2 linked regions of the Notamacropus eugenii genome follow. The protein of the gene in region 1 interacts with the protein of each later gene in a biochemical or structural test. Links are inferred from orthologs where the notes say so. Each region holds a gene or a part of one and is shown on either strand. Other genes may lie near its edges.

Region 1 (16,134 bases):
TCAAATGAGATTATATTTGTAAAAAGCAGTAGCTGGTCTATGGTAAGTTCTTAATAAACACGTGCTCCTTTCTCCCCTATTTACTTTTATCCCTTGATCCATACCTTCTAGCACGTTGCTTTACACATAGTAGGCACTTTATAAATGATTATTGAATTGAGTGGAAAGATTTGTAGCAAGTCAACAGGTAAGAGGAGGAGGGCATGAAGTTTCAGACTTATCATACCTAAGATCAGAGATATCATTGAAACCTCTATCTGTGAATAAACTCTGAAGTGGCCATGTGTCTATTAAATTTCAAGGTCAGAAGTTTGCAATGATGGAAGAAAAGACTGTCATTTCCTGGGTGCTGAGGCGGTTCTGGATCGAATCCATTCAAAAAAGAGAAGAACTTCATCTGGTGGGAGAAATGATTCTTCGACCAAAGAACGGCATCTGGATTAAGCTGAAGAGGAGAACATAGAAGGAAGGAACCTCACATTCAATCAATTGTATTGGCAATTCATCACCTAGCCTGAAAGTGTGTGTGTGTGTGTGTGTGTGTGTGTGTGTGTGTGTGACAGAGAGAGAGAGAGAGAGAGAGAGAGAGAGAGAGAGAGAGAGCACTTACAAAATTCTTGATGATCAGTTGTCGGCTCTCAGGTAGAGGACCCATTTCAAAGGTGTGATCTGTCTGTTTTCATTGACTTCAGAATTACAGCTATGAAAACAGTTTAGGTATAGCAACCATCAATACAAATACATCCTTGAAATGTTTCCCCAGGTGGTCATTCATGTCAATCACAGGTTGAACAGGTAACAAGTTCCCCACAACCTGGAAAATATAGATCAATTTGTTGTCATCTGTTTATAGATCCAAATAAATCAAGAAAATCAAAGAGTTTTTTTTTTAAAGAGAAATACTGACATTTAACTTTTATTCTTCATAAGAAATCCCTTTTTCCTTAAGTCAGTTATATTTCACTGATGGGATCCATCCTGAAGAAAGTTACATCTCCTTTGAGATGAAAGATCTATTTTGTTTTGGTGTTTGAAAAAATGCTAATATTTTGTTCTTTTGATCTAGGAGATTTTAAAATAATTTTGCATATTATAATAATTTTGCTCACAGTAAAAATTATTTTTAAGCACTTTATATTTTAAAGCACTTAATAGCCTTTATCAGCTATTCATAATTTACATAAAGAAACAGAATTTTTAGAGCCACAGGGGATCTTAGAGACTTCTAGCAATTTTCACTACCACCACACCCCTGCCCCATCCAAGAAATCCATCACCTGAAAGGAAGCATAAAGGTCTCTGAGGAGTCAAAAACAAATGTCATAAAACAGAAGTCTAAAAACCTATGCACTTTTAAGAAAAACTTTGCTGATTTTTACTTAGCATGTAATTTTAATAAAATTGTTTTTCTAGTTTCTTAATTCATAGAAAATCATAAAGTGTGTGGTGCAGGAGACAGAGGATCAAAATGCTAGTGACAGGGGCACTGATAGAATAAGAGACTAAAACTAGGAAATAGACAGAAGTATGCCAGATTGCCTTGCAAGTAGAAGGAAAATGCTTCAGCCTTTGCTGCTTGCAGGAGTAGAATTCAGTTACTGAATGTGTATAGATAAAATGGTCATGGTTATCATATACCTACTGAGTTGTCTAATAATCATGCATGGAATCTAAAGTAGGAAAGTGAAGGCACTGACTTTTGGAAATAAAGTTTTGTTAATTTTTTTCAATTTCTAAACAGTTCTCTTCTCTTTTTCCCATCTCACCCACTTAGGGGCAGCTAAATGGTGCAGTGAATAGGGCACCAGTGCAGGAGTCAGGAGGACCTGAGTTCAAATCTCACCTCAGACACTTGGCATTCACTAGCTGTGTGACCTTGAGCAAGTCATGTAACCCCAATTGCCTCATCCTGGGTCATCACCAATCATCCTGATGAATATCTGCTCACTGGATTCAGATGGCTCTGGAGGAGAAGTGAGATTGGTGACCTGTACAGCTCTCCCTCACTCAAAACCGTCAAGTGCAAGTCATGTCATCATTTTTCTGATGGCATGGTCTTGTTCGGAAACAAAGGATAAACACAAAATACAATCGCCCCCACTTACTGAAAAAGAAGAAAAAGAAAACCTTTGGAATAGATAATAATGACTAATATTTACACAGTACTGACTCTGCCAGGCATTGCAAGTGCTTTATAATTATTAACTCTTTGAAAATGAGATAATAACAACCTCATAAGAATACCGAGAGGTAGGCACAGTGATTAGTCACCATTTTACAGATAAAGAAACTGAGGCAAATAGGTTAAATGACGTGTAGCTAGTGTTTGAAGTCAGATCTGAACTCTTGATTCTAGACCTACTGCTCTATCCATTGTCTCACTTAGCTGCTCAAAAATACATACAAACATGCACATATACACATATATGTATACACACATACATATATACATACATATGTGTATATATGAGCATGTATACACATCTCATATACCCATGCATATATAATATACTATGCATAATATCTAAGTGCCCCAGTATACAGACATGCATGGTTAAGCAAAACAAACTGCCATATTAACTGTATCCAAAAATACTTGTCTGATTCTGCATTTAGAGTCCAATACCTATTAGGAGGTGGGTAGGAACATGAATGATTATGTCTATATAACATACATATTATATATATAACCTGCATCAGTATCAACATAATTGATATCAATAATAAAAGTAATCATTTGATTATGTCAATAGGTGCATAAAAAGCTTTTGATAAAGTACACTCATTTCTATTAAAACATTTGAAAGTATTAGCAGAAATGGATTTTTCCTTCCATTGACAAAAAAGCATTTATTTAAAATCATCAGCAAGTATTATGTGTAACAAGAATAAACTAGAGGCCTTCCTACTAAGATGAGGTATGCAACAAGATGCTCATTATCCAATATTGTATTGGAAATCCTAGCAATTGCAAAAAGAGAAGAAAAAGAAATAGAAGAAATCAGAATAAGGAATAGTTTTCCTTTTGATTGACCATCCCTCATTCCTGCTATAAATCCCATTTGGTCATAATAAACAGCAAGGCTCCTTCAATATCCCCCCACTCCGCTGTGTGCTGTTTGAGAGATTGATGAAAGTTGGTGAGGTAAAAGCTCCTGAGTTGAGATGAAATTTCTTGAGACCTAGACTGCCTCTCCACCAAGCTGCCCCTCTGGTCTGCTGTCCTTTAATTCTGTGGAGTTGGCCCAGAAGTGTCTATACTTCACTCAGGCCAACCTCAACCTCTGGAGTCTTCTCTTTCAAGTTTCTTTAGGAAGACTTTATTTTTTCTGCTCTACGTTTTATTTCATGTTGATTTTTCTGTCTCTGGAGGAAATCTAGAGACCCATTTCAAAGGTGTGATTTGTCTGTTTCCAATGGCTTCAAAATTAGACCTATGAAAACACAGTTTGGGTATGTCAACTACCAGTATAAAAGTTGGTCCTTTGAAATGTTTCCTCAGGTGATCATCGATGTCAATCACAGGATGAGCAGGTAACAACATATAATAAGAACATATCTTCCCCAACAGAGAAGATATTCATAGATTTGTTGTTATCTATTTATAGATCCAAATAAATTAAGAAAATCAGAGTGGTGTTTTTTTTTAAAAATAGAAATACTGACATTTAACTTTTATTCTTCATAAAAGCAGAGATGTTAAGAAACCCTTTTTCTTTAAATCTGGAGATACTGGAGTGGTTTGCCATTTCCTTCTCCAGCTCACTTAACAGCTGAAAAATTGAGGCAAAGAGTTAAGTGACTTGCCCAGAGTCATGTAAATGTCTGAGGCTGGATTTAGTCTTCCTGATTCTAGGCCCAAGACTTAATTCACTCTAACACTTAGCTGCCTTAGACTAGATAACAGGCACTTCATACTTACTATTTTCTTTCTTTCTTTCTTTTCTTAATGTGGCTCATTTTTCAGGGAGGCAGAGTGGAACAGTAGAAAGAAAGCAGATCTCTCTTGCCTTCCAATTCTTTCCAACACTTTGCCTCCATCTCGTTTGCTCTTCTATTGAATGAACATGAAACAGTTCCTGTCCTTGGGGAGATAACATTCTAGCAAGAATGGGGAAGATGCCATAAGAATAGATAAGTGAAGCATTTATTAAATGATTTAAGTGAGGCAGAGCTGTGCCAGGTTGTCAGCCTCACTCTTTCAGAGTTAGCCTGGCATTCCAGACCCTCCACAATCTGACTTCAATGTGTTCTTCCAGCCATATTGTATGTTATTCCTCTCTATGACCTCAATAGCCACCTTGGATGACTCATTTGTTTTTTGCCGTATTGTTCTCCCTTCTCCTGCCTCTTTACCCTTGTTCAGACTGTTCTCCCATGCCTAAAATACACTCCCTTCTGATCCCAAAGTGGTAAATACCTTCACTTCTTTTTAAGACTGAGTCCAGGCATCACTTTCTTCATATAGCCTTCTCTGATTTACATCCCTCCTCTCTCTTGCCAAAAACGCTCTCTTGCCTTCCTATTCTTTGAAACACTTTGCCTCAATCTTTTCTTTGTCATTCTATTCAACATTCAATTAAATCATTCATTACTAAGCAGTAATTGTTTCTCTTTTACCCAGGAATTCTGAGGGGCTTCCTCTCCCAGTTTGATTTTTTTTTTTTTTTTTTGGTTAAAAGGGCTATCCCTTGAGTAACTACTTAAAGAAGCCTATTTGTTGAATGGATGCATCTCACTCAAAGTGAGAATGTGATAAGACCTTAACCTGAAAGGGTTGCACCCTGGGCCATCTCCAGTTGTCCTGATGAATATCAGGCCACTGGACCCAGGTGGCTCAGGAGGATAAAGTGAGGCTGGTGACCTTGCACAGTCCTCCCTCACTCAAATCAAAGTCAACTGCAAGTCATGCCATCATCTTGATATCATGGTCCTCTTCGAGAATGAAGGACAAACACAACAACAATTCAGCACTTATTAAGAGCCATGTACTTTGCCAGGTACGGAGCCCAAAGACAAAAATGAAACAGTTCCTATCTGTAGGGACCTTGTATTCTAGCAAGATGGGGGAGATATAACAAGGACAGATGGGAGTTAATCAACAAGCATTTATTAATGTCTACTATGTGCCAGGCATTTTTTCTATGTGTTGGGAATACAGACAGATACAAAGAATGAAATGATCCTTCTTCTAAAAGCATACACAATATTGGATAGGAAAATAAAAGATAAGGTAATTTGAAAGGGGACAGAGTGCTAACTGCTGTCATGTAATAATGATATAATATATATTATATATAATATATGATAATATAATTGCTAGCATTTCCATAGCATCTACTATGTTCCAGGAACTGTGCTAAGCACTTTATAAATATTATTTCATTTGTTATTCACCACAAACAACTCTGAGAGGTTAAGGATTGTTAATATCCCCATTTCACAGTTTAAGAAACTAAGGCAAAAAGAGGTTAACTTACCCACAGTCACATAGAAAGTGCTTGAGGCTGGATTTGAACACAGGTCTTCCTGACTCTGGGCCCAGCACTCTACACATTCTGGCACCACCAAGTAGCCTGACAAAAAGCCATCAGACTTAGAAACTAAAAGAGATGGAAAGGATTTGAGAAGCAGGGGGTAGAAAAGAAGAAGAGGCAGGAGTTTTTATGGTAAATGAAGAAGGGATATTGGACAATGACTTGAGGGAGACAAGATGAGAGAATAAGAATGAGTCATATTCATAGAAGAAATGGGAGGGGATCCAAGGCCCAAGAAAGGTCAAGGGCCCTTGGCAAAAGGAAAAACCACCCCTTCCTCAGATCCCAGAGAAGAGGGTTTAATAGAGGAGAGGAGCAGGACTATTGCCTTTCTTATCCTGAATGCTATTGTGTTATTCATTTATTTCAGTAGTATCTGATTCTTCAAGATTCTGTTTGGGGTTTTCTTGGCAAGGATACTAGAGTGACTTGCCATTTCCTTCCTGAACTCATTTTGCAGATGAAGAAACTGAGTCAAAAAGGATCAAATGACCTACCCAGGGTCACACAGCTAGTAAGTGTCCAAAGCTAGATTTGAGCTCAAGTTTTCCTGACTCCAGGCCCAGCAATCTATCCACTGCACCACCTAGCTGCCCCTGAACACTATACCTCTATTAATTCAGTATAAGATTGCATTAGATATTTTATTGATGTGTTACCAAGTTAAGTTATATATTAAATTTACAGCACACTAAACTCCTATGCTGATATATATATATATATATATATATATATGTACACACACACACACATATATATATATATATAACTGATCCTTACATCTCTTCTCTTTGTGAGATTGATTTTTTTAAACCCAATTGGATGAATTTACATTCATTCTCATTAGATTTCATCGTATTACATCTGATCCATACAAAGGCATCGTTAAAGCAGAGAGTCTCATCCACCTTGCCATCCTGGGCTTCTCATTTAACATTAAGGATCTCACTCCTTGGGGCATTATATTTTTCAGGTCACCATCTCCCATCTCAAGTAAGCATTAGCATGTCAGCTGTAGTCAGACTCCTCTGAGTTAACCAAGAAAGACACATCAAGTCATTGTGATGGAAGGCTTTTTTGCCATAAGCAGCACTTCCCCTTTTCTTTGATCCAGTGACACTGGTTTCCTTGCTGTTCCTCAGAGAAAACACTCCATCTCTCAGCCATTTCATCATTTTCATCAACTTTACCTCCAGGATGCTCCTGCCTGACTCCAAGTGAGGAGTACAATATAAAAAGGTGGCACCCAATATTGACTATTAAGGAACATCCGGGAAACTAGGCATGTTTAACCATGAAAAGAGAATGAGAGTCACAAGATGAATATTGTTTTCAAATATTTTAAGTTATATCCAAAATATGAATGAAAAAAATTTTGGAGGGTAGGACTCTAGAGAGCAAATCTCACACTAATGGACAGAAATTATAATGAGATTCATTTTGGTTCAACATAAATAATAATGTTCTATTAACTTATGTTTATTTGATCCATAAGCTTCACAAAGTACTTTCTTCAATAAATTTTTCAGGTAGGGTGAAAAAGTATTAGTATTCCCATTTTACAGATTCAGAAACTGAGGTTCAGAAAATAATGTGACTTGGCCTGGCTCATATGATTAGTAAATATCTGAACCAGGTCTTGAATTCAAAGTCCAGTGCCCTTTGCATTGCATGTTGCCTCTCTACCACAAAAAGAGCTCCTATATTTTAGTGCCTATGTGTTTGTTTTCTCTTTTTTTTTTTGATCTTTTTGGGCCTAGAAGGGGTATCACTGCACCAGAGGTATGCATAGTATAATAGATTTTTGGGCATAGCTCCAAGTTGTTTTCCAGAATTACTGGACCAGTTCATAGTTCCACTAACAGTAGATTAACATACTTAATTTCCAACAGCCCTTGTGAAATTTGTCATTTTCTTTTTTTTTTTTAATTTTGCCAATATAATGGATATGAAGTAGAACCTTGGAATTTGTATTTATGTTTCTCTAATTATTAGTATTTTCAAGAACTTTTTAAATATGATTATTGATTGATAGGTTGGATTTCTTCTTGTGCTTTTAACTGCTTATCAAATGGAAAATGGCTTCTATTCTTGTAAACTTGAATCAGTTCAATGAAACTCCTTCCTCATTCATTGGCTTTTCTTCTAATTTGGGCAAGTAGGTGACACAGTGGATAGAGTACTGAGTTTGGAGTCAGAAAGACTTATCTCCCTGAGTTTCAATCTAGCCTCAGATACTTACTAGCTCTGTGACCCTGGGCAAGTCACTTAATTCTGTTTGCCTCAGTTTCCTAATCTGTAAAATGAGATGGAGAACGAAATGGCAAACCACTTCAATATCTTTCCCAAGAAAACCCCAAATGAGGTCACAAAGAGTCAAAAGGCTGAAAAGTGACTGAACAACAACTTCTAATTTTGAATGCATTGGTATGCAAAAACTTTCAAATTTCATATAATCAAAATAGTCAATTCTACCTTTTGTGATCCTTTCTATTTCTTATTTGGTCACAAAATCTCCTTTTATCAATAGATCTGACAGATAATATCTTCACTTATTCCTCTAATTTATTTATGACATAATCTTTTATTTGTCATGTATCCATTTAGAACTTCTCTTGGTATGTAGTGTAAGATGTTAACCTAAACTGTATTTCTACCAAATTACTCTCCAATTTTCCCAACAATTTTGGTTTAATACTGAGTTATTGTAATAGTTGAGTTATTTGGGTTTATCAAACATCAGGCTACTGTGCTCTTTTGCTTCTGTATATTGTTTCTCATCAGTTCCATTGATCAGCTTTTCTATTTCTTTACCAATATCAAATTGTTTAGATGATTACTTCTTGTGATATTGCTTTATATCTAGAACTGCTAGGGCCGTTTCTTTCATTTCTCTTTACATTTTTGTCCTTTGTGCTGAGGTGTGTTGATTTCTCTCCCATTCCAATGGCATTCTAGTTTCTTGAGCAAAAGGCTACTATATTCATGTTGCCTTTTAAAGTTTACCCAGTACTTTGTAATTTATTGCCTCAATTAAGCCCCACCAAAAGCATGTGATTGGTATAATAGACAGTTTTATTTCCATATAACAGATAAAAAAAGAGGTTCAGAGATATCAAGTGAATTCCATATTACTTCTGAGGGTGCTATTTTGTTACCTAGGACCACCACCTTGGTGTTTTCTTTGACTCCTTACTCAGCATATTCAACTAGTTTAGAAATTTAGTTATTTCTATTTCTACGTCTCCCAAATATATCTCCTTTCCATCCACACAACCACAATCATAGTTCTAGTCTTCATCGTCTCTGGATTACTGCAATTGCCTTCTCATTGGATTCCCCAACTCAAGTCTTTCTCCACTCTAATGCATCCCCCACACAACTGCCAAAGTAATTTTCCTAGAGAGTGCCAACTCTGATCATTTCACCCTCTCTTCCTATGCACTTACTTCCACTGGTTCCCAAATACATCTCAACTCAAATATAAAACTCCTCGTTTGACATTTAAAGCATCTGACAACTAGTCTCTTCTTAAATATAGTCCCCCACAAGCAATCTACAGTTAGTCAAGTGGGTCAAATGTCTTGTTTTTTACAATGTTTAACATGCTGTATCTGTGCCTTTGTAACATATCCGAAGTATATCCACTCTTTGCCTCTACCTGTTAGGACCCCTGGCCTTCTTCAACACAAAGCTCAAGTACTAACTTCTTGTACTAAAAGGTACTAACTTTTGCCAGTTACATCACCACCCTCTCTTTGTTTGCTAATGCTTTCCCCTCTAAGGTTGCCTTATACCTAATTTGCATGTATCTTGAATACAGCTATTTATGCATATATGGTTTTCCCCTTTAGAATATAAGGTCATTTGCAGCCAAAGTGTGTTTTCACTTTTTTTTTTTTTTGGCATCTCCAGTATTTGGTCTAGTGCCTGGTAAACAATGGATAAATGCTTTTTGATGGTTTGATCCATCACTCATTATCACACAGCTACTCAAAGGTGAGATCTGTACCCAGGCGGCAGGATCCCCCATAGAAAGATCACTAGGTCCAAAGTCAAATGACCTGGGGTTCAATTCCAACTTGAACTGTTAAATTTTTCAGTATGAGTATTTATGCTTGAGAAATTGGCAAATATTATAAATCCAGGCATGATTTATTGTTTTGCTGATTTCCAGAAGTAAGAAACCAATGGGGGAAATGTTAGTTGTGCAGATTAAATATAAAAAGTGTGTCATGGGTACATTTCTCCAAACATCTATTGTTAAACATTTACTCATCCACACATTGCTATCCAAATCCCACCTGTCTCTTGCACCCTGTATGACCTTGACTGGCCACTTATCAAAAAGGGTTGGTCTAAATGGACTTTGAGGTCCCCTCTAGCTTTGTGATTCTATGACTCTCAGTCTAGCTCTATGGACTCTATCTGCCACTCCAGATCCCTTCCATGCTGCTCCAATGGAAAAAGTGCAGCCCAAGAAGGGCAATTTTCTTGTTCTAAAATGACATGATATTCTAAAATATAAAATAATTGAATCCCAGATGGGTGTTACATAGTTGCACAGTAAAGTAGCTGACATATTAATGAAATTGCGGAAACCCAGGAGGGCTGGACATTTATTAAAGATGTTGACAGAGAAAAATGCTGACAGTCAGTTGGCAGAAGATCAGAGTCAATGTTAGAGGAAAGCAAATACGTGCTGTGCCACAGTCCTCTTTACGAAGGGATGACCATCCAACATTTTAAGTGGACAGAAGACCTAATCCTTACGTCCAGAGCCATCGAAGCCTGCACAATCTCAGGTAGAGAACCTCTCTTAATTCTGATCGCTTCTCTATAGGCCATTCTTTGCAGTGGACTATGGTTTTTTGTTTGTTTTGACGTGTTTTTTTTTACTTGATGAAGCAATGTTTCAATTCTAAATCACTACATATTTAGGAAGCCAACATGAGCCAGTTAGAAGTGGAAAGATGGCATATCACGTTTTTAAATAAAGCATGTTTTTGTTCATTCTGAGCTTGTCACTAAATACAGTGTGCATTTTCATATACAAAGTAGAACGGGAAATGGATTATACATGAAACTGTAAATCTCTACTATGCGTGTGGAAGTTATTTTAAAACCCCCATCGCTAAGGTTTAAAATCAAGCCTGGGCAGAAATCTTCCATACTCTTTCCTCACTATGAGATCATATGTTGTATCACTGATAAATAAGGATAATGTAGATTAAACAGTTGTGTTATTATATATATGTACATATATAGTGTACATGTATAGAAAGGGATAGAAAGATTTCTCTCCCCACATATACATATATATTTTCCTCTCTTTCCCTCTCCCTTCCCCACCAATACTAATAACTGAAGCTATATCTACATGTCTATTATATAAATATCTATGTAATATGATATACTATATGGTATAATATTTTGTTACATTTTATGATATCATTTCATAATATATTGCATTTTATAATTTAACATTTTATAATATATAACATAGCTATATAATAGAGAGAGCTAAATGCAGACATAGATATAGACATAGACATAGATATATATATATAGATATATAGCTATAATATATACATATGTATATATTTGGTAAGTACCCTGAAATGTCCTTCAGAAACAAGAAACTAAGGAGCCGGACCAGAGGGGTTGCTATCAAGTTAAGTCAATGAGCATTCCTAAGCATCTACTATGTGTCAGTCATGGTGCCAAGAACTGGGAGTTGTTAACTGCTGTTATACTCCATGTTTTTTGAAGTGCGCTGGTTTTTGTTTCCCAAGAAATTTTCCACTGACCCATCTTCTCAGTACCTGGGATTCTGTGCCCAGAATTCATAGTTAACATTGATCAAAGGAAAGGGACAGACTACATTTTATCGATTTGTTAGATTACTTGGTCACCACAACTCCAGGTTGTGCTTTCTTGGCAGATATTGTCCTAGTCCCCAAACTTGGTCATGTGTTTTGTCATTTTAGGATGGATTTCCTACACCAAGCAGTATATTTCCTCTTCTTCTTTGCTACAGTGACCAGCGGTAAGTTTAGCTTTAAAACATATCTTACCCAAAGAGAATTTCCCACAGTTGGTAAAGTCAAGGAGGTGGATGTCATAGGCACCAGTCTGTGAAAAGGGCTGATTTCTCTGGGGAGAAAAGGAAACTAGGGAGCTGTCTGCCCCTGCATCTGTGATCATCGGACTCCCCTTCTAGGGACCAGGGGCAAGAACTAACATAACTGCTCTTTAGACTTACCTTCCTTGTCTTTTATTATGAAAAAGGCGGAGAGGCCCAGATGTGCAGAATCAGATGGGAGGGGAAGGTTGCTAATCCAAGAAATCAGACCTTTGAAATGAATAAACAAGATAGGCTTCAAAAACAAAACCAAGAACTATACTCAAAAAGCTATGTCCATTTTTAGCAGTCTTGTTTCATTGTAGCAGAGCACTGACTCTGAAGGTAGAGGACCTGAGTTCAAATCTTACCTCTGATGCTTGCTACCTGTGTGACCTTCGACAAATCACCAAACTTCCCTTGGCCTTGGTTTCTTTATCTAAAAAATGGGCCAGATCTATTCAATAACCTGGAGGATTTCTGAGATCACTCTAGCTCTACATCTGGGACAGGACTATTATTTATTTTTACTACCAGGTGTCAATTTGAGTTTAACTGTATTCAGATGGCCCCCAATACCTGTCTCATTTGAAGTTTATAGGAAATAAGAAATAATAAGACACTTGATGGATCTATGTTGTCACTCACAAAGATACTCTCCCAATTACCCCAGATCATACCCTTATTATGTCATCTTATTCAGTGAAATTCTCTGTTTGTAAGTCTTTCTGTCTGTCTCGGTCTCTGTCTCTCTTAATCTCTCTGTCTGTCTGTCTCTGTCTTCATATGTAAGAAATTCCAATGTAACATTTCAATTGTTTATCTATATTTCTAAAGCATAGACCCAGTGTGTCATTCCCCTGTTCAATAAACGCCAGTGGCTTTCCTGCTATGTATAACATCAAACTCATCCACTTCTGTGAAACATGTAAAGCTCTTTACAATCTGATTCTAGCTTGCCTTTCCAGAGTCACTCCATAAGAATCCTCTTTATGCATACTATGGTAAAGCCAAAATGACCCTTTTAGTATTCCTCACCTATAATTCTCCATCTCCCACTTCCATGCTATTGCCCAACCTATTTCTCATATCTCTGATTTGCTTTTCTAAAAAGAAAAGCAACTTTTAGGGGTCAATAATCCCTTTAATCAAACACATGTATCACTCACTTAATTCAGGGAAAAAAGTCAGCCCCTGAACTTCGGAGAATACACAGAGAAATCAAAGATCAACAGACAGACTTCCAACTATCTGACACACATCACAGATCAACAGATACATGTCTGACCATACATACATAGTTACCAGAGAGGGAAGCATCAACATCTGGGTTTTCAAAGCTAGGGGGTTCCTTAGTGCCTTCCCAGAGTCTTGTCTGGGCAAACAAAATATTTCCACTCCATAAACCCTAAAGTAAAACCTCACCTCAGAGTATTAATACATTTTTTAGTCATAGGGCCTCACAACCTTGAGAACCATTGTCTCATTAGAAACTTAACAAAAAGTGTGGGCCTTCCTGCAAATCTTCCTTAATCAAATTCCCTTTAATAGGCAGGCCCATTAATGGGTGGGAAAGATCTTTAATCATATTAAAATAATTAACAACACAAATACATATACTGTTTCTGGTTAAAGAAACTCTTGTTTCTGCACTTTACTCCTAGTAAATGCTCTTGGTTGATAAAGGCAAGATTCAGTTAGAGGCATTTGATTATACTAAAACAAAAACAGCAAAAGATCCTACTTTGCTTGCCATCAGAGTCTAAGAATAATGATAATAATAGCCATGTGCCAGGAGCTTTACAATATGACCTCATTTGACCTTCACAATAACTCTGGAAGGTAGGTGCTGTTATTATCACCCCCATTTTATTGGGGCTAACAGAGGTTGAAAGGCCACTAAGTTAGTAGGTTCTGAGGCCAAATTTGAGCTCAGATCTTTCTGACTACAGGGCCAATGCTGTATCTGTTGCTCTGTCTCACTGCCAAATGATTTCATTCTTTCTAGGGAATTAGAGCCATATCTTAATGAAGTTGTGGGGGGAGGAGATTGCTAAGAATGGAGAGGGTGGGGGAAGGTGATAATGTTGGGGGGAAGAGGTACATAGGAAGGCATTCTTGAGCATATCCCTTGCTAACTGCACCAGATCAACACTGTCCTCTGATTCTATTACAGAGTGTGTGACTCGGTTTTATGAAAACACCTTCTTTAAAGGAGGAGATGTGGATGCGGTGCACACCCCAACTGCTGAGCTCTGCCAGAGAGCATGCACCTTCCACCCCAGGTGTACAATGTTTAGTTTTCTACCCGCAAATGCCATTAATGATGAGAACAAAAGGTAACGGCTTGGGATTCATCATCAGAGAAACTGAACTCCCCTTTCCTATGCCTCTCCCCCGATGATGCTCATTTTGGAGTTTTGGCGTCTTAGTACGTAGATTCAAGACCTGTTCTACCATTTCAGCATCTACAAGTGTGATCTTGGGCAAGTCACTTAGCCTCTCTCTGCCTCAGTATCCTCATCTGTAAAATGAGTTAGACTAGATCACGAGTGGAGAACATGTAGCTTTGAGGCCACATATGGCCCTATAGATCCTCACGTGCAACCCTTACTTGCAGACCTAGAGGGCCACATGTGGCCTTGAGGCCACAGGTTCTTCACCCCTGGGATGGCCTATAGAGTCCCTTAGACCTCTAAGTCTATGATGCTATGAAAAGATGTATATTTTCATTTCTGAGACTGCTTCCTCTACTAATGCAGATCTTAGCCTTTCATGTTGTCATCCTCCTCCAAAACAAATCACATGGTAGGGAAAAGCAGGGGATAAGCATTTATAAAACACTTACTATGTGCCAAATCCCCAGATCCTGTTGTAATCATTTTATCTCATTGACATGACTATATGGTAGACAGTCTAGTAACTTAACTTAATTCACGGATCCTAACCTAAGATGAACCTTGGACTGTAGACACACAGTCACATTTCTATCTTTTCTTCTTTCATTTTTGATTTTGCGTCCCAACTGCTTAGCACTAGGTAGGTATTTAATAAAGGCTCATTGAACGTTTTTCTTCAAAGCTGGTGTAACTTTGCCATACCAGTTATTAAGTACTTACTAATTAGTGTCCAGCACTATCTGAAGCCCTGAAAATTCAAAGAAAGGCAGAACAAACAAACAAATAAACAAACCAAAATGGTCCTGCCTACAAGGAACTCCCATTCTAATGGGGGAATGATTAATATCTACAAAATTTTATATGTGGAGTACATGAAATGGAAATGAAAGGTAATCCCATGAGGAAGGCACCAGCATTTGGTGAGAGGGTAGTACCAAGAAAGGCCACTTAAATGAAAGAGAATATAAGCTGAGTCCTGAAGGAAAAACTGTAGAAGTCAGAAAGGAGAGCATTCTAGGCATGGGGAGTATTCAGTAAAAAAGAGATACGAACATGGAGCATTGTGCTTAAGAAATGACATGAAAGCCACTGCTGCTAGATTTCAGAGTTTGTAGGAGTAAAGTGTTTGAAAACTGGAAAACTAGGGTGCTCAATAGTGTCAAATGCTGGAGAGAGTGCCAGGAGAAGGAATCATCCTTCACTGAGAAAATCCCCTTGAGTGCCCATATTACCTCCATGCCATTATGAAATCTCAGCCTCAGGCTTTAGTGGATGGATCCTTTTCAACATCTGACAAATGTTCATAAGAAAGGCAGCACAGTGTCATGGATAGAAAGCTGATTTCAGAGCCAGAAAGATTTGGGGTCCAGACTTGCTTTTGATATATACTCTGAACAAGTCCCTTAAGCAACTGTGTTTTAGGCAACTGTAGAAGACTACATATACATTGCAAAAAAAGGAACAAGCTTGCATGGGTAGAAGATGCTACCTATATCAGTGAAGTCCCAGTTTCAATCCAAGTCCTTATTTGTATCTTTAATAAATCCTAAAAAAGCCATTAAATGGAGAAGAATAATAGGAGCCCCCCCCCCCACCTCAATTCCTACTCAGATGACTCATCATGGTTTGGAGATGACTCAAGGTTCTTGAAGCCCATGCCAATGAAATGCAAGTTCTCATAGATCCTAAGAACATGGAAAGGCTTTCAATATTAGTTCAGTGCTAAAATATGTGTTTGGAGTCTGGTAACTAGCCTTTCTAAGCTCAGAGATGCCATCACTTGTCACTTGATCACAAGGTAAAGGGGTTATTTTTGACCTACAACCACCCTGAAACTTAAATTTTCACAATTCTTAGTTTTTGCTGTACTTGCTATTTGCTCTGATCATGTATTGGATGCTCATATTTCCCTCGTTGACCTCTGATTTTCACACCTAAAATTTTAGAATTTAATTAAGGGTTTTTCTTCCTTTGCCAGATGGGTTGTGATTTGCATATGTGGAAAGCCCAAATTGATGAAATGGTATATCTTTGACGAAGCAAATTTGTTAGGGTCTTCCCCTATCCCTTTAGT
Region 2 (15,748 bases), on another chromosome or scaffold:
ACAAAGTTCTGAGGGGCTTCATGTATCATCTCCCCACGTAAGAATGTAAACAATACCCTTTAGTTCTTAATGATTACTCACTCATATTTACCGATCTTTTTTTCTATTCAAATTTCTGCTCAACTCTGGCTTTTTCATCAGTAATTCTTAGAAAACTTCTATTTCATTAAAGATCCATTTTTTCTCTTATAGGATTATCCTCAGCTTTGCTGGGTAGGTTGATCTTGACTGTACTCCTAGATTTTTTGCCTTCTGGAATATCATATAACAAGTCCCCCACTTCTTCAGAATGGTGGCTGCTTAATCTTTGCTTTATTCTTTGCGAGTTCCTGATTGTGGCTCCTGAGTTCATGAATTCTTTCTTTTTGGTTGCTTGCAGTGTTTATTCCTTGACTTAGGAGCTCTGGATTTTGGTTATAATATTCCTGGGATTCTCCATTTTGGGATTTCTTTCAGGTAGTAACTGGTGAATTATTTTAATTTTTGTTTTTCCCTCTAGTTCTAAAAGATCTGGGTACTTTTATAACTTCCTGAAATATGAGGTCAAGGCTCCTTTGGTTTTCTTTTCTTTTTTTTTTACTTTGTTCATCACTTTCAGGTAGTCCCATAATTTTTAAATTATTTCTCCTCCATCTGTTTTCCAGGTCTTTCATATGAGATATTTAAGTGTTTCCTCTGTATTTATCACTCTTGACTTTATTTTATTGTTTTTTAAAATTTTTCTTGGAGTTATTAGCTTCCATTTGGCCAATACTAATTTTCAAGCAGTTATTTTCTTCATTAAGGCTTTGTACCTCTTTTCCCAAGATGTTAATTCTCTTTTCATATTTTTCTTCCTTTTATCTTGCTTCTTTTTTTCCATTATTTCCTTTACCACTTCAATTTTGTTTTAGAAATAACTTTTAGCTCTTTCTTTAACTCTTCTAGCATACTCTGCTTTGTAGATGTTTTTGAGTTATTTTCTTCTAGGTTTGTGTCTTGAATTTCCATATCACCATAATAGCTCTTAATGGTGATATTCTTTTATTTGTTCTAGCCTTACTTCTTGACTTTGAGCTTTATGTTAGTGTTGGGCTCTGCATAACTCTGGAAGGGATGTCAGTTCTATGCTTCTATACTTCAACATCCTTTTGCTGTTTCTGCAGCTCTGTCTGGGGTCCTGACAGTTTTCATGGACCCCCAAATGAGGTGGTCCAGAAGATGGTGTATTCATTGCCCTCCTGGTCTGAGCTCTGCAAATTCCTGACCCAGGGTTGGGAATGTCAGCTTATCCTTGGTTGTGAGTTCCAGTAGATTGTTGCTGGACTCAGTCACTGTTAGCCTGCTGAAAGATTCTGCAGGTTCAAAACTCTCCCTTGGTCAGGGACTGTTGCCTTAGTTATTCCAATGCAGGTTTATCAAGAGTCAGAGCTGCCAAATGACACCTGTCTGCACCCAGCACCAGTTCAGAGATAATCATAACCTTAGATCTTTCTGCTGGGGTACTTCATGTCCCCAAGCTCTGTCTCAGCCTTTTTCCAGTCCCTGAGAGGTAGAATGACTGTTACTGGCCAATGTTCATAAAACTCTCTCTCTTTCTCTCCCTTAGTCACCCTAGGCTGGAAAAAAATGACTAGTTGACTTTTTCTTGGCTTTCCAAAAACAGAATTGGTCTCATGCATTTTCTAGATAGTTATGGAGAGGGATAGTGGACAGCTAGGCTCTAGTGCTTCTCACTCCACCATCTTGACTCCACCAGTTCCATTTTGGCAGTCCACCTAATGTCTTTTCTTCACCATTCAGTAAGTCAGAAACAGAATACTTGCAGGTTCACCAAACATTCCTGTATCCATGCTCCCAGGAATGGTCCCACATTCTTCAGTCCCACATTACAAATTTACTAATCATTCCTTACCATATGTTATAGAGTTTTGCCAAGAATCAACATCAAATTCACTGTCCTAGAGTATATAGATACTAGTTTCTCATGTTTACCATTCTCTCCAGTTTCATCTCTCCTCCCCAACTCTCCATGATCTTTCAAGTACCACTGACCAATCCCACCTTCTGCCCAGTTCTGAACAGGTTGTGATGTCACAGAATCTCAGAACCTCATAGATGTAAAGGAAAGACCCCTAGATGCCAAACAGTCCCACCTATACCTGAACAACAAAAATAATAATAATGGACATTTGTATAAATCCTTAAGGTTTATAAAGAACTTTCCCTATATTGACTCATTTAATTCTCACAGTAAATGTGGGAGGTATGGGCTATAAGCATCATCACCTCCAGTTTGTAGATGAGAATACAGAGGGATCTTGTCTAAATTATTCTTGATGAGTAGTCATTCAGCCTCTTCTGGAGAGTTCCATTGAGGAGGAACCCAACCTCCAAGGCAGACATTTCCAATTTGGAACATCTGTAGAAGAGATAGATAGAAAAGTAGAAATAAAGGTAGATAGGTAGGTAGGTAGGTAGATGATAGAACACTATAATTCTTTTATAGATCATGAAACCAAGGTACAGAGGGGTTTAGTGACCTACTCATGGTCACATAGCTAGCAGCATCTGAACCCAGGTCTCCCCTGACTCCAGGTTTAGTTCTTATTCCACTACACCTTGTAAGGAACTTCAACCAGATTCTGTTGGAATAAATATCTCCTGCTGTTCAAAAGCATAAAAGGCAAAAATGTGCACCCTGGCCCACAAATGACTCTTCAGATTCTACTTCCCTCCCTTTTCCAAACCCAGGAGATTCAGCAATTCAATGGATTAGCTGTTAACTGTTAATGGGCTTTTGTTGTTGTCCGCCAGGCCTAGAGGCCTGTGTGGGCTACCCGAGTCTTTCTTACCTCACCTCCGAGGTCTTTGGTTGGCCAAAACCGGATGCACATATGAGAGAAAGGACGTTCCAGAGTCGAACAAGGGTTGAGCTTTATTTCAGGGTCTAGTTACAAGTGCAGGGGGGTCTTCCTTAGGAGGAAGAGGGGGAGATTTCCTAAGGAGGCTAGGATCTTAAGGGCTTGGAAATAGAAGTACAAGCGGGGAGAGAGGGGGAGGGGAGAGAGGAAAGAAAAGAAGTGGAGCCTACTGTCCTCTTGGCTCCACACGTGCTAAGAGAGAACTTTCAGGCTTCCTCAATCCTACTTAACCTTCAGCCGCACAGTTTGCATCTCAATACCGTGCTGTTAGGTAACTAGGTGTGCTCCAATCCGGGACGACCTCGAGGGCAGGGAGACTCCACCCATCACGTATCTCCCGGGGAGAGGCGGAAATACCCGAGCTAGCCAAGCTAGCTCAGTCTGACCTTCTCTAACCCCCACTGTTCATGGAGGGCCTCGTAAGACTCTAAGATTTAGAAGTCCCACTTTTACCCGCCCGAGACCGTCCACACGGAATTGAGCTTCCAATCCCAACAGTTGTCATTTTGTATTTTTTTTTTTTTTTAGTATACTTGGAGTTTAAGAAGCCTCATTACTGCAGGGTGGTGGTGGTGGTGGACTAATAACTCTTTCAACAAACAGATGGAGACTTTGGGGGAAGGAGTTTAGTTAATAGCTAATTCATTAAATTGACATAATTCTTCTCTCCCCCAAACTAAGCATTCCCCCATTTCCCAGACCTCAGAAATATTCTATCACAATGGCCAATGGCAGAAGGTGGAGGCTGATGGTAGGCTAGGAGAAGAAGTAGTGGACTGTGGCTGCTTCTGTAGCCAAGCTGCGCTAGTGACTAAATGGAAAGAGTGAAGGCTTAGCAGGATCTCACTGTTTTATTATCTCATGGGAGCTTTCAAGGCTAGTCTGTTTTGGACTGGGTTAGGGAAGGAAGGAAGGTCAGTCCTGTCTCAGTGAGCATCCAGTGAGCTGGTTTCTTCAGTGTGTTCATCTGGTATTCCTTTAAGGGTCATGTCACTGTCCATCTGGCTTTTGGGGGAGAGGAGGGCACTGTAAGGAGGAGCAGTAGTTCTGGCCCAGTGTCAGCCTGGGATTGAGGGGCAGAAGCTCCCCACAATGGGCCTGTGGAAAGAGCAGGCCTTTGATGGGGACAGAGAAGATTGCTCATGCCTTTAACAACAGTTAACCCTGAGTCTACAATCCTAGTGAAATTAGTCACCCCTCCAGGTTGTATTCTCCACATTGTGATTCCATCAGCACTGAGTAGCTGTGATGCTCCATAGGTTTTTGATCCATAAATAGCTTTCAGGGAGTCATAAAACTGCTTTGGGTTGTTACTATTAGCATAAAACTGAATTTCATCTGTCTTCTGATAAGCCAGGAATCCTGCATCTCTTGAAGCTTTGCTTGAACTTTGCTATTGATGGAATTATATGCTGCCTTCTTAGAGGTGGATGAACTATCGTGCTGGTAAATCCTGTGGAGTTCTCATTTTTCATTAGCAGCTTCTGAATTTCCCCACCATTTTCATCAAACCAGTCTTGGTGTTTGTGAGTGTTCTGACCCAGATGAGCAAATGCAGTGCTGTACACCAAATCTCTGAAAGCTGCCCACTTTTCTGCTTCACTGTTGCCACCTTTGTGTGGGCTCAACCTTCCCTCCAAGTTAGCAACTGTTCACACTCAGAGAAGAGCTCTAATGTGTTGACATTAATTCTTCTGGTAGTCATTTTGCCTTGGGGAGGGGCACTTTTGATGAATGTGAATATTTAGCTTGGAAAGGATAAGTCTGTGATCAGTCCAGCACTCTGCACCACACATTGCCTTTTGTCACTTTCACATCTTGTCTGTCTCTTCTCCTTACAATCACATAGTCAATTAGATGCCAGTGCTTGCTATGAAGTTTTATTGTTGTTTAGGTAAATGGAAAACAGTGTTGGTGGTGAGAAGGTCATTTGATGTGCAAGTCTTCAGCAGTAAATGACCATTGCTGTTGCTTTTCCAACTCCATTCCTCCCTAGGACTCCCTGCCAAGTCAGGTAGTCTGAGCCTACTTTAGCATTAAAGTCACCCAGAATGACAAGCTTGTCCTCTTTTGGCACATTGATGATAAGGGTCTCTAGGTCTTCATAAAATTTTTCTTTGACCTCATCAAGGTTTGTCATGGTGGGAGCATAGGCACTGATGATGGTGGCAGGGCATTTTCCTGCAAGTGGCAGTCACATTTTCATGAGCCTGTCATTCACTCCTTTTGGCCAGCATACCACCTTGTTGACTAGATTAGTTTTGGTTGCAAAACCTATGCCAGCTTCATGGCACTATTGATTAGTGATGAGGACATTATCCTAGAGAGACTGGCTGAACACTTCCATAGTGCTTTCAACAGACCATCATCAATCAAAGCTGAGGCCATTGACCATTTGCCTCTTTGACCATTTCCCTCCTTAGCTGAACTTCCAAGTGAAGAAGAGGTTTTGAGGGCCGTTAGGCTCCTTTCATGTGGCAAAGCTGGTGCTGATTCTATTCCAGCTGAGATTTACAAGGTAGGGGGACCATTGCTCATACAGAAGCTGACTGAATTTTCCAGGTTATATGGCAAGAGGAGGCTATCCTCTAGGAATTCAAGGATGCCTCCATTGTCCATCTCTATAAAGGTAAAGGGAATAGATTATCCTATGACAATCACAGAGGGGGTCTTTCTCAGATTCTTGTTAGAGTCCTCCTTAGTAGGCTGATCCTTCACCTAGGAGATGGGCATATATCTGAGAGCCAGTGTGGCTTCAGAAAGGGCTGAGGAACAGTTGATATGTCTTTATTGCTCGACAACTCCAGAAGAAATGCCAGGAGCAGAACAGAGGTCTGTATACAATATTTGTAGATCTGACCAAGGCCTTTGACACTGTCAGTCATGAGGACTTATGGAAAATTGTGTCAAAATTTGATTGCCCAGAAAAGTTCATCAGCATTGTATGTCAATTTCATGAGGGAATGTTTGACCAGGTTCTGGACAATGCTCTTGTGCCTTCCCAGTCACCAGTGGAGTGAAACAGGGCTGTGGGCTTGCTTCCATGCTTTTCAGCATGATGTTTTCAGTCATGTTGTCAAATGCTTTCAATGATGATGAACACGGTATCAAGGTCAACTACCATACTGATGGTAAATTCTTCAATTTGAAAAGGCTACAAGGCAAGACCAAAGTGGAGGGAGTGTTGGTGCATGATTTTCTGTTTGCAGATGATTGTGCACTCAGTGGAGCCTCTGAAGTTAAGATGCAGAAAAGTAGGGATCAATTTTCTGCTGCCTGTGCTAATTTTGGCCTAATAATTAACACCAAGAAAACACAGGTGCTCCATCATCCACCACCACACCATCCATATGTGGAACCATTGATTACAACAAATGGAGAAGTTTTGAAGGCTGTGGATAAGTTCACTTTCCTTGGTAGTGTACTTTCCAGGGATGTACACATCAAAAATGAGGTTGATGCACATATTGCCAGAGCTAACTCAGTGTTTGAGAGGCTCTGAAGAAAAGTTTGGGAGAGAAGAGGTGTTAGACTGACTATCAAAACTGAAGGTCTACAGAGCTGTTGTGCTGACTTCATTGTTGTATGCCTGTGAAACATGGACAGTCTACCAGTGTCATGCCAGGAAACTGAATTGTTTCCATTTGAACTGTCTTAGGAAGATTCTGAGGATCATCTGGCAGGATAAGGTACCAGACACTGAAGTCCTTGCTCAAACTGAACTGCCAAGCATTCAAACTATGCTTCAGAGAGTGCAACTATGATAGGTTGGTCATGTTGTTCGAATGCAAAATGTACACTTGCCAAAAAGACTATTTTATAGAGAACTCGCAAGGGGCAGGCAATCACATGGTGGTCAGAAGAAGTGATAAAAGGACACTCTCGAGGTCTCTCTCACAAACTTTGGATTTGATTGTGCTACATGGGAGACACTGGCACAGGACCGCTCAGCATGGTGTACCCGTATCAGAAAAGGTGCTGTGTTCTATGAGCAAAGTAGAATTGAGACAGCACAAAGTAAATGTAGGATGTGCAAATTTGGAGTGTCCACCCCAAATATTCACACGGACTCTCTGTGCTCAACTTATGGTAGAGCATTCTGAGCTCATATTGGTCTGATCAGCCACAGTCAGACACACTGAAACTTGAGTTTATCATGGTGATGTCATTTTGGTCCTCTTTGAGAACAAAGGACAATAACCCACCAATTCTCCACATCATCAAACTTTTCTGAGGCCCGGACCTGAAGGGTTAGAAAAGAAAGCCAGGCTGAAAGTATGAAACCCAAGCAGGGGAAAATGCTATAGGTGAGCAGGCACTTTAGGTGTGGATGAGGAAGGGGACAGAGTCAGATCAACAGTCCCTGCAGGAAGGTTATGCCTTTCTGGGAGGCCATGCCTCCACCTCCTCCATCCTGCTGATCATTACTTTCCTTGAGGTTTGGTCCTCCCAAGCCAGTTAACCTTTATGGGGATGGGGGATGGGGAGGGGATAAGTTGGGAGGCCAGGCAGCACCAGGAACGGCCTGGAGACTTCATCCCTCCTTAGCAATTATCATAAATCATGCCACCAGAGGTTGCCACTTTTGCGGTGGACCAAAGTCATCCAAGTTGGCTGGAAATCAAGAGGTCTGAGTCTTGGTTCCTATTATGACACTAATCTTGGGCCTCTAGAAGAGGATGGAGTTGGACCAGTTTGCCTCTCAAACCCATTCTGTGAGATTTAAGACCTATTTAACTGTCCCAGGTCAGCCTCAGTTTTCCTTCCTGTGTGGTCTTGGACAAATCACTTCCTTTCTCTGTTGCCTCAGTTTCTTCTTTTGTAAGATTGAAGACATGATCTAGGTGATTCCCAAGGTCTCCTCCAGCTCTAACATGAGATTTAGGGGACAGGGTGTGACTTCAAGCTCTCTTTTCATCCCCTTTCCCAGCAGTATCCATCTGTTCATTAAAAGGGTTGTTTTCCACCAATGAAAGTACCAAGACTTCTTGGATGTCAAATATGAGGGGAAAATGTGGATCCCTAACATTTACAGTATTTTAAGGTTTGCAAGATTCAGTACAATTCACCTTATTTGACCCTCACAATGATGCTATGAAGTAGATTCTGTTATTAGCACAGAGAGGCACTAGTGTCTAAGGCAGGATTCAAATGCAAGTACTGTGGACTCCAAGTTAAACACCCTAAGAAGGACAGTTTAAATCAGCAGTGGTCAAATGGGTCCATGGAGGGGAGGGGAAACTCACCCAGCATCAGCCTCAAGTCACCATGGAATCTCTTTCATGCTTCTGGGTGGTGTCTGCTGTCTCCTCCCCCAATCTAAAGGGGACATTTATATTGTTTGTCCTAGATGCCAAAATGCCCAGTGATGGCCTTTCCCCTTTCAGGGCCTGCAGTGTGGAGGGGGTAGCATCAGCCACAGCAGGAATGGATGTCTCTGTCTCCCTTGTGTCCCTTCTCCTCAGTGCTGCCTGAGGCATAGTCTTTTGGAAGATAGTTCTCCCGGAGACTAGCTTATGGGCAGTTGTGTGATGCCCTAGTGGCAAATGTGGCTGACCTGGGGCTAGTCACTGAGGAGGTCCCACCTCTGAGATGGCTTTTCTTTCTTCCTTCCTAAGTCAGTGACCTCCTAGGTCACTGAACCAGAACATTCCCAAAGCTGCCAGCATGTGTTTCCAAGAGGTTTTCTGGGAACTGGCCCCAACTTAGTGGGGAGTTAGAGGAGCCTGGTTCCTGAGGCAGGACAACAACCTCTGTGTTGCAATGATTTCAACATAAACTATTTGGCTAAACTGGGGGTGAGGGGTGGAGCTGGTAGGAGGTGGGTGGGGGTGTTCATGCTCTCTGAATACCGCAAACTGTAGTGCCACAAATTTAGCCGTGCCATCTGAGCAGAGCAATGAGGTTACTGTTTTGTGGTGATTAAAACAAACCCAGAAAAGACCAGAAGAAGAAGGAGAGGGAGAGAAAGACACAGAGAGAGTGGGAGGAGAAAGAAAACGGGGGTGGAGAGGTTTTAGAGTCAGTCTTTGCCACCCTGGTGACAGTTCCCTCCGCAGCCAGAGAGGTGGTGAGCAGCTCAGAATGAAGCTAACTGTGGTCCTCCTGCTTGTGGCCAGCCAGCTGAGTGTCCAGGTTGTGTCTTGGGGGAATGATGTTACCTGCGAGGATGATGATGTCTTCCGAGCTGTGGATGCAGCACTGACCAACTACAATAACCAAAAGTCATCTGGCCCCCAGTTTGTCCTGTACCGAATAACGACAGCCTCGCTGATGGTGAGTGAGTGACCTTTGTGGTCACTTCCTGGGCTCTGTTTGCTGATTGTCCTGTGCTGGTAAAATAATGCCCAGGGGCTCAGCTAATGTTCTTCTGTGGCACCTCCATGCCCTCCTTTCTCAGTGCTCCTTCAATGTCCAACCCACCCATGGCCTCCACACTCACTCTTCCTCTTTCTGTTGTGGGTACCATACACATACACACACACATGTATATATGTATGTATATATATATATCTCCTTTTCCTTTTTTTTTTTAAAAATTTCTTTCACTCATGATGGAATATGCCATCCACATCCAGAGAAAGAACTATGGAGTCTGAATGCAGATGGAAGCATACTATTTTCTCTTTTTTTCCCTCATGGTTTTTTCCCTTTTGTTTTGATTCTTCTTCTATAACATGACTAAGGTGGAAATATATTTAACATGATTGTACATTTATAGCCCTATATCATTGCATGACATCTTGGGGAGGCAGGAGGGGAGAAAGGGGAAAAACCAGGAACTCAAAATCTTATAAAAGTGAATGTTGAAAACTAAAAATAAATACATAACGAAGCAAAACAATAAAAAAAAATCTCGTTGATTTGGTGCTAATACCTAATCTACGAAGAGGTAAAACAGAGAAAGAAAACTATAGACCAATATCCCTAATCAAAATTGATGTAAAAATTTTAAAAATAAAATACTAGCTAAGAGGTTATGGCAACCTATCACGAGGCTCATACTCTATGGTCAGGTGATATTTATACCAAGAATGTAGGGCTGGTTCAATATTAGGAAACCATCAGTATAAGTGACCATATAAATAAAAGAAAACAACAGACATCTGATATGATTTTCTCAATAGATGCAGAAAAAAATAACTTTTGGCAAAATACAACACCTGTTCCTATTAAAAACACTATGCTTTTTGGCAAAGGAATGAAGGGAGCTTTCCTTAAAATAATTAATAATACCTATCAAAAACCATCAGCAAGCATTATCTGTAATGGGAATAAGCTAGAAGTCTTCCCAATACAACAAGGGTGAAGCAAAGATGACTATTATCACCACTATTATTCAATATTCTATTAGAATGTTAGCCATGGCAATAAGAAAAGGAAATTGAAAAAAAAATTAGACTAGACAAAATGGAAATAAAACTATTAAGCTTTGTAGATGATAAGATGGTATAGTTAGAGAATCAACTAAAAATCTACTTGCAATAATTAACAACTTTAGCAAAGTTGCAGGATTTAAGATAAACCTATATAAATCATCAACATTTCTATATATTTCCAACAAAATCCAGCAGCAAGAGGTAGAAAGAGAAATTCCATTTAAAATAACTGTAGACCATATAAAATGCTTGGGGGTCTACCTGTCAAGACAAACTCAGGAACTCTAGACATACAATTATAAAACACTTCTCACATAAATAGTCAAATCTAAACAATTGGAAAAATATCAGTTGCTCAGGGGTTGGTTGAGCCAATATAATAACAATGATAATTCAACTGAAATTAATGTGTGTGTTCAGTGCCATAACAATCAAACTACTGAAATTTATTTTATAGAGAAAGAAAAAATAACAATATTCATCTGGAAAAATAAAAGGTCAAGAATATCAAGGGAGTTAATGAAAAAAAATGCAAAAGAGGGTGGCCTGGCCATAGCAGATCTCAAACTATATTACAAAGTGCTAATCATTCAAACTATCTGATACCAGTTAAGAAATAGAGTACTTGATCAGTGGAATATATTGGATACACAAAACACAGGAATAAATGACCAGAGTAACCTAGTGTTTGATAAACCCAAAGACCTCAGCTGCTGGTATAAGAACTCATGATTTGACAAAGATACTGGGAAAACTGGAAAACCATGTGGCAGAAAATAGGTATAGACCAACACCTTATACTGTATACCAAGATAAGTTCAAAATTGGTACATGATTTAGACATAAAGGGTGCTATCATAAGCAAGTTAGGAGAGCAAGGAATAACTTGACTATCAGATCTATAGAGAAGAAAAGAATTAATGACCGAAGAAGAGATAGAGAGCATTATGAAATATAAAATGGATGCTTTTGACTATATTAAATTAAAAGGGTTTTACATGACCAAAACCAGTGCAACCAAGATTAGAAGGAAAGCAGCAAGTTGGGAAACAATCTTTACATCCAGTGTTTCTGATAAAGGCCTAATTTCTCAAATATGTAGAGAACTGAGACAGATTTATAAGGATACAAGGCACTCCCTAATTGCTAAATGATCAAAGGATATCAATGGGCAGTTTTCAGAAGAAGAAATCAAAACTATATATAGTCATATAAAGATAATGTTTATAATCTCAGTTGATTAGAAAAATGCAAATTTAAAGCAACTCTGAGGTATCACTCCACATCTATCAAATTGACTAATATGACAAAAAAGGAACATGACAAATATTGGAGAGAATGTGGAAAATTTGAGATGCTGATGCATTGTTGACGGAGTTTTCATTTTTCTTTTCCTTTTCCACTTCCTTTTCCACTGATCCACCACTCCATTTCTTATCCAGCATCAGACTGTTTTCTTGATTATCATTTTATAATATAGACCAAAATCTGAAACAGCTAGGCTACTTTCATTCACATTCTTTCATTGATTTTCTTGATATTCTTGATCTTTTGAATTTCCAGATGAATTCTGTTTTTTTTTCTACTTCTACAAAATAATTCTTTGGTAATTTGATTGTATGGCACTGAAAAAAACTAATGGGTAGAATTGTCATTTGTATTATATTGGCTCAGCCTATTCAATGGCAATTAATATTTCTCCAATTGTTTAGATTTGTCTTTATTTCTATGAAGTGTTTGATAGTTGTGTTCACATCACCTCTGGGTTATCTTGGCAGGTAGATAGATTAACAATGGGGAATTTTAAATTTGTTCTTTTGCTAGGTTTTTTTTAATTGCATGAACAATTCATTGATCTGCTCTATCTCTTTTATTGATGTATATATTCAGAGATATATTTTTTTTTTCAAGTACTTCTTTAGCTTCATCTCACAAATTTTGGGATGTTGTCTCATTGTTGTCATTCTCTTTAAAGAAATTATAAATTGTTTCTAGGATTTATTTTTTGACCATTCTTTAGCTTAGACTATTTAATCACCAAACACTTTTCCTTCAAAATGTAAGAAGGCTTGTTGTGAAAGATCCATGTTTCTCTATCCTAATAGGTATTTGCCATATTTTATAGAATGTCTAGATAAGAGCTTGAAGGAATATTAGAGGGCATCTATTTCAAACCCTCTTCTCTGTAATGCATGATGAAACTGTGACCTAAAGAGGGGAGGCAACTTTCCCAAAGTCACACAGAGAAGAGCAAGATTTGAACCCAATTCCTTTGACTCTGGGTCGATTCAATTAACAAAACAACAATAAAACTGTTAAGAACCTCTTATGTGTAAAGCATTGCTCAAATACTGGGAATTCAAATAAAAAACCCAACAATCCTTGGCCTTACCGAGATTGTATTTTCCTAGAAACCAATTCAGATTGCCTTCCACATCTCTTTCTTGAGGCCAAGCTTTATCATTCAAATTTATCAATGCTCACTTTCAATTGTTTTGTTGTTGAATAAATTAATTTTTTTGGCATAAAAATACTTCCCGACCTTGTGTCCATTGTGTTGGATGATGTCAGTTAATTGAATGAAAAAAGAAAGAGACCGGAACTAATCTCATAAAAAGAAAAGCAACACAACTTAGTCATGCCAATTCCACGTACTCCAGGATGTAGTTTTCTTGGACAAACATGAACATGATTCCAGAGGAGAAACAACTAATGGCCGCTATGAGCTTCTCCAGGCTGATCAAGCTCCCAGAGGCCATACATCCTGAACCCCCAAACCATGAATCAATTTTATTAAAAACAAAGCAACAGCTAAGCCATTGTTCTGGAACTACCTTTCCTTATAAGCATACCTCAGATGGGTCTAGTGGATTTTAGTTGCCAGTCCATTGACACAGCATCCATAGGTAAATCCTTGGCTAGCCTTTGTTTGACAAATCATGTGCTAAGGGATGGAACCAAATTGATGCTTCATTCATGCTGGCAAAGAGAGAAAACCAATTATTTGTCCCATGTCATGCAGAATTACAGAGTCACAGAATGTTAGGGCTGAAAGAGAACTTAGAGACATCTAGAGTCATCCCATCATTTACAGATGAAACTGATACCTAGCAGAGGAGAAGATTGTTTCTTAAGGACACAGAACTAAAAAGGAATAGTGTGGAGGTTGGAATCCTGGTGTTCCGATTTGCTGTCCAATGTCTTCCCACCACTCCAAACAGCTTTTAAAAAGAAATTAAAGAAAAATTTAAATGTTCCTTCCCATCCCCAAGAATACTTTATTAGAGACTACACCTTCACAGTTACCCAAATGACTGAGACATGGAGAGAATCCAAGGTTCTACTTTGTTTATCAATCACTGATTTTTTTTTTGTTAATTAAAAAATTAATTTTTCTAATTGGCAAATATTTCACTGTCTCTTCACTAACGGAAAGAAAACCAAGCCAAATAATAGCTTGAGACTTTCAAATCAAATGTGATCAGGGGAATTAATTATAGATGTAGGATTCATCAGGTGATGACTTAAGGACTACAAATGAGGCAGTGTAATGTCATGAGATGAGTGCTATCTTGTGAGTGAGGGGTCCTGGAGTTCTAGACATTGATCACATAATTCCTTCTCTTTTTTGGACCTTAGTTTTCCCACCTACTAAATGAGATGATTGAATTACCTGATTTCTAATTAGATTCAACCAACTTTTGTTAGGTGGTTGCTGTGGGTCAGGGACTGTGGAAGGTGCTGGGGATTCAAAGTCAGAAATGAAATGCGCTCTGCCCTCTGCCACCTTATATTCTACTGAGGGGAAACAATGTGGGGACAGGTAAGTAAAATACAAGAATTGAGGAAGGTAGTGTATTAAGGGATTGGGATGGTGTTCTCATATTCTATGAATAATAAGACCAGCAGAGAACCCGAAGAAGATCAATTCAATCAAACTTGCAGCAGATGTGTGGTGAGAACCTCCTAACAAAGCCCTGGGTTTGGGGGTTTCGCAGATTTGCAACACAATGTCCATTTGCCGTTTCCCATAGGACTCCAGTGAGCACACCGTCAAAATAACCTATGAAGTCCGAGAGAGCAAATGTACGATTGAAACAGGCAAAAACTGGAAAGAATGTAGCTACAAAGATTCTGCAAATCGGGTAAGATTCTTTTACTATCTATCTGTCTATCTACCTATCTACCTACCTACCTACCTATCTATCTATCTATCTATCTATCTATCTATCTATCTATCTATCTATCTATCTATCTATCTATCTATCTTCTTTTCCCTTTGAAATTTGCACTTTGGTGAGAGAAGGAAGGAAAACTCTTCTCATTGGTCTTACAGGACCCAACAGAAGGAGGACAAACTCGAAAAGTATTCTGGTGGTCTATTTTGAAAGTTAAATGGATTTTTTTTCTCTGTGATCAAATGAATATGAGGGGTTTTGTTTTATGTCATGGCTTTAGGCATAAAGGGGAATTGATGAAGGAGTCAATGTTATAACAGTGAGGAAGGCAAGAGATTGATCTTAGAGTCCAGGAAATTGGTGGCTGCTGTCTAAAGGTCTTTTGAGGGTATTAGCTTCTTTCCTTGCTGGAGAATGCTACAATGCTCAGAGAAAATCCAAAAAGTAGGGCTTTAGGGCTAGATTTCTTGCTAACCTACTATATCATGGTTCAATGGTGGCACAGTGGATAGATTGTCAGGTCTGGAGTCAGGAAGACTGATCTTCCTGAGTTCAGATCCAGCCTCAGATACTTGCTAGCTGTGTGACCCAAGGCAAGTCTCTTAACCCTGTTTGTCTCAATTTCCTCATCTGTAAAATGAGCTGGAGAAGGAACTAGCAAACCACTTAAGAATGATGTCTCTGGTTTTAGCTTGCAGTACTTGGAGGGTCCCTAATTCTGTTCATGTGTGTCCTCTCTCCGCTAATTTTATAGGAGGTCTTGAGTAGCTGGGCTTGAAAAATGAATCACCTTGTGGCCAATCTAAACATCAACAAATAAGGAGGATGGTAGACTATAAGTCCAACAAAACCACAAGTCTATCACTGGCTCTGTATTTGTCATTTTGATAGACTTTGCCAGAAGTTGAGTTCCACTGGTAAAACCTACAAGAACCCCAAATTACTAAGCTACTAAGGTACTAATATATAACAGGTAGAGTCCTAAGGTAGCTCATATCCTGGTAAAGGGGAAATACTTCCAGATCTGGGAAGAATAATGCTAAGAAATTCACCATTTATAGTAGCTTTCATTCAATATCTCCCCATAATAGAGTAGGACAAGCCCTGGCTCTGGTTCAAGGCTCCATTATGAAACTTACCTGTACATCTTTGACTTAAATCCAATTATCATCTTTATGCAGATGATTCCCAGATTTATATTTCCAGCTCCAGCCTCTCCTCTGAGCTGCAGTCCTGCATCACTGATTGTCTATTGGACATTTCAAACTGGTTTTCCCAGAAACATCTC

What was found.
Region 2: the proteins of KLKB1 (region 1) and KNG1 form a complex in vitro, tested with the Homo sapiens proteins (4 studies listed by BioGRID). The link is inferred for Notamacropus eugenii from reciprocal best matches to the Homo sapiens genes KLKB1 and KNG1.

What each region holds. Positions count from the first base shown.
Region 1 is NC_092878.1:105,423,721-105,439,854, forward strand, and holds the start of KLKB1 (plasma kallikrein), read left to right. Parts: upstream 1-9,874; 5' UTR 9,875-10,342; intron 10,343-11,527; 5' UTR 11,528-11,528; coding exon 11,529-11,586; intron 11,587-13,837; coding exon 13,838-14,000; intron 14,001-16,134. Other genes in the region: CYP4V2 (cytochrome P450 4V2), read left to right, coding at 303-463. UniProt on the Homo sapiens protein: Participates in the surface-dependent activation of blood coagulation. Activates, in a reciprocal reaction, coagulation factor XII/F12 after binding to negatively charged surfaces.
Region 2 is NC_092877.1:376,977,248-376,992,995, reverse strand, and holds the start of KNG1 (kininogen-1), read left to right. Parts: upstream 1-8,746; 5' UTR 8,747-8,987; coding exon 8,988-9,179; intron 9,180-14,316; coding exon 14,317-14,427; intron 14,428-15,748. UniProt on the Homo sapiens protein: Kininogens are inhibitors of thiol proteases.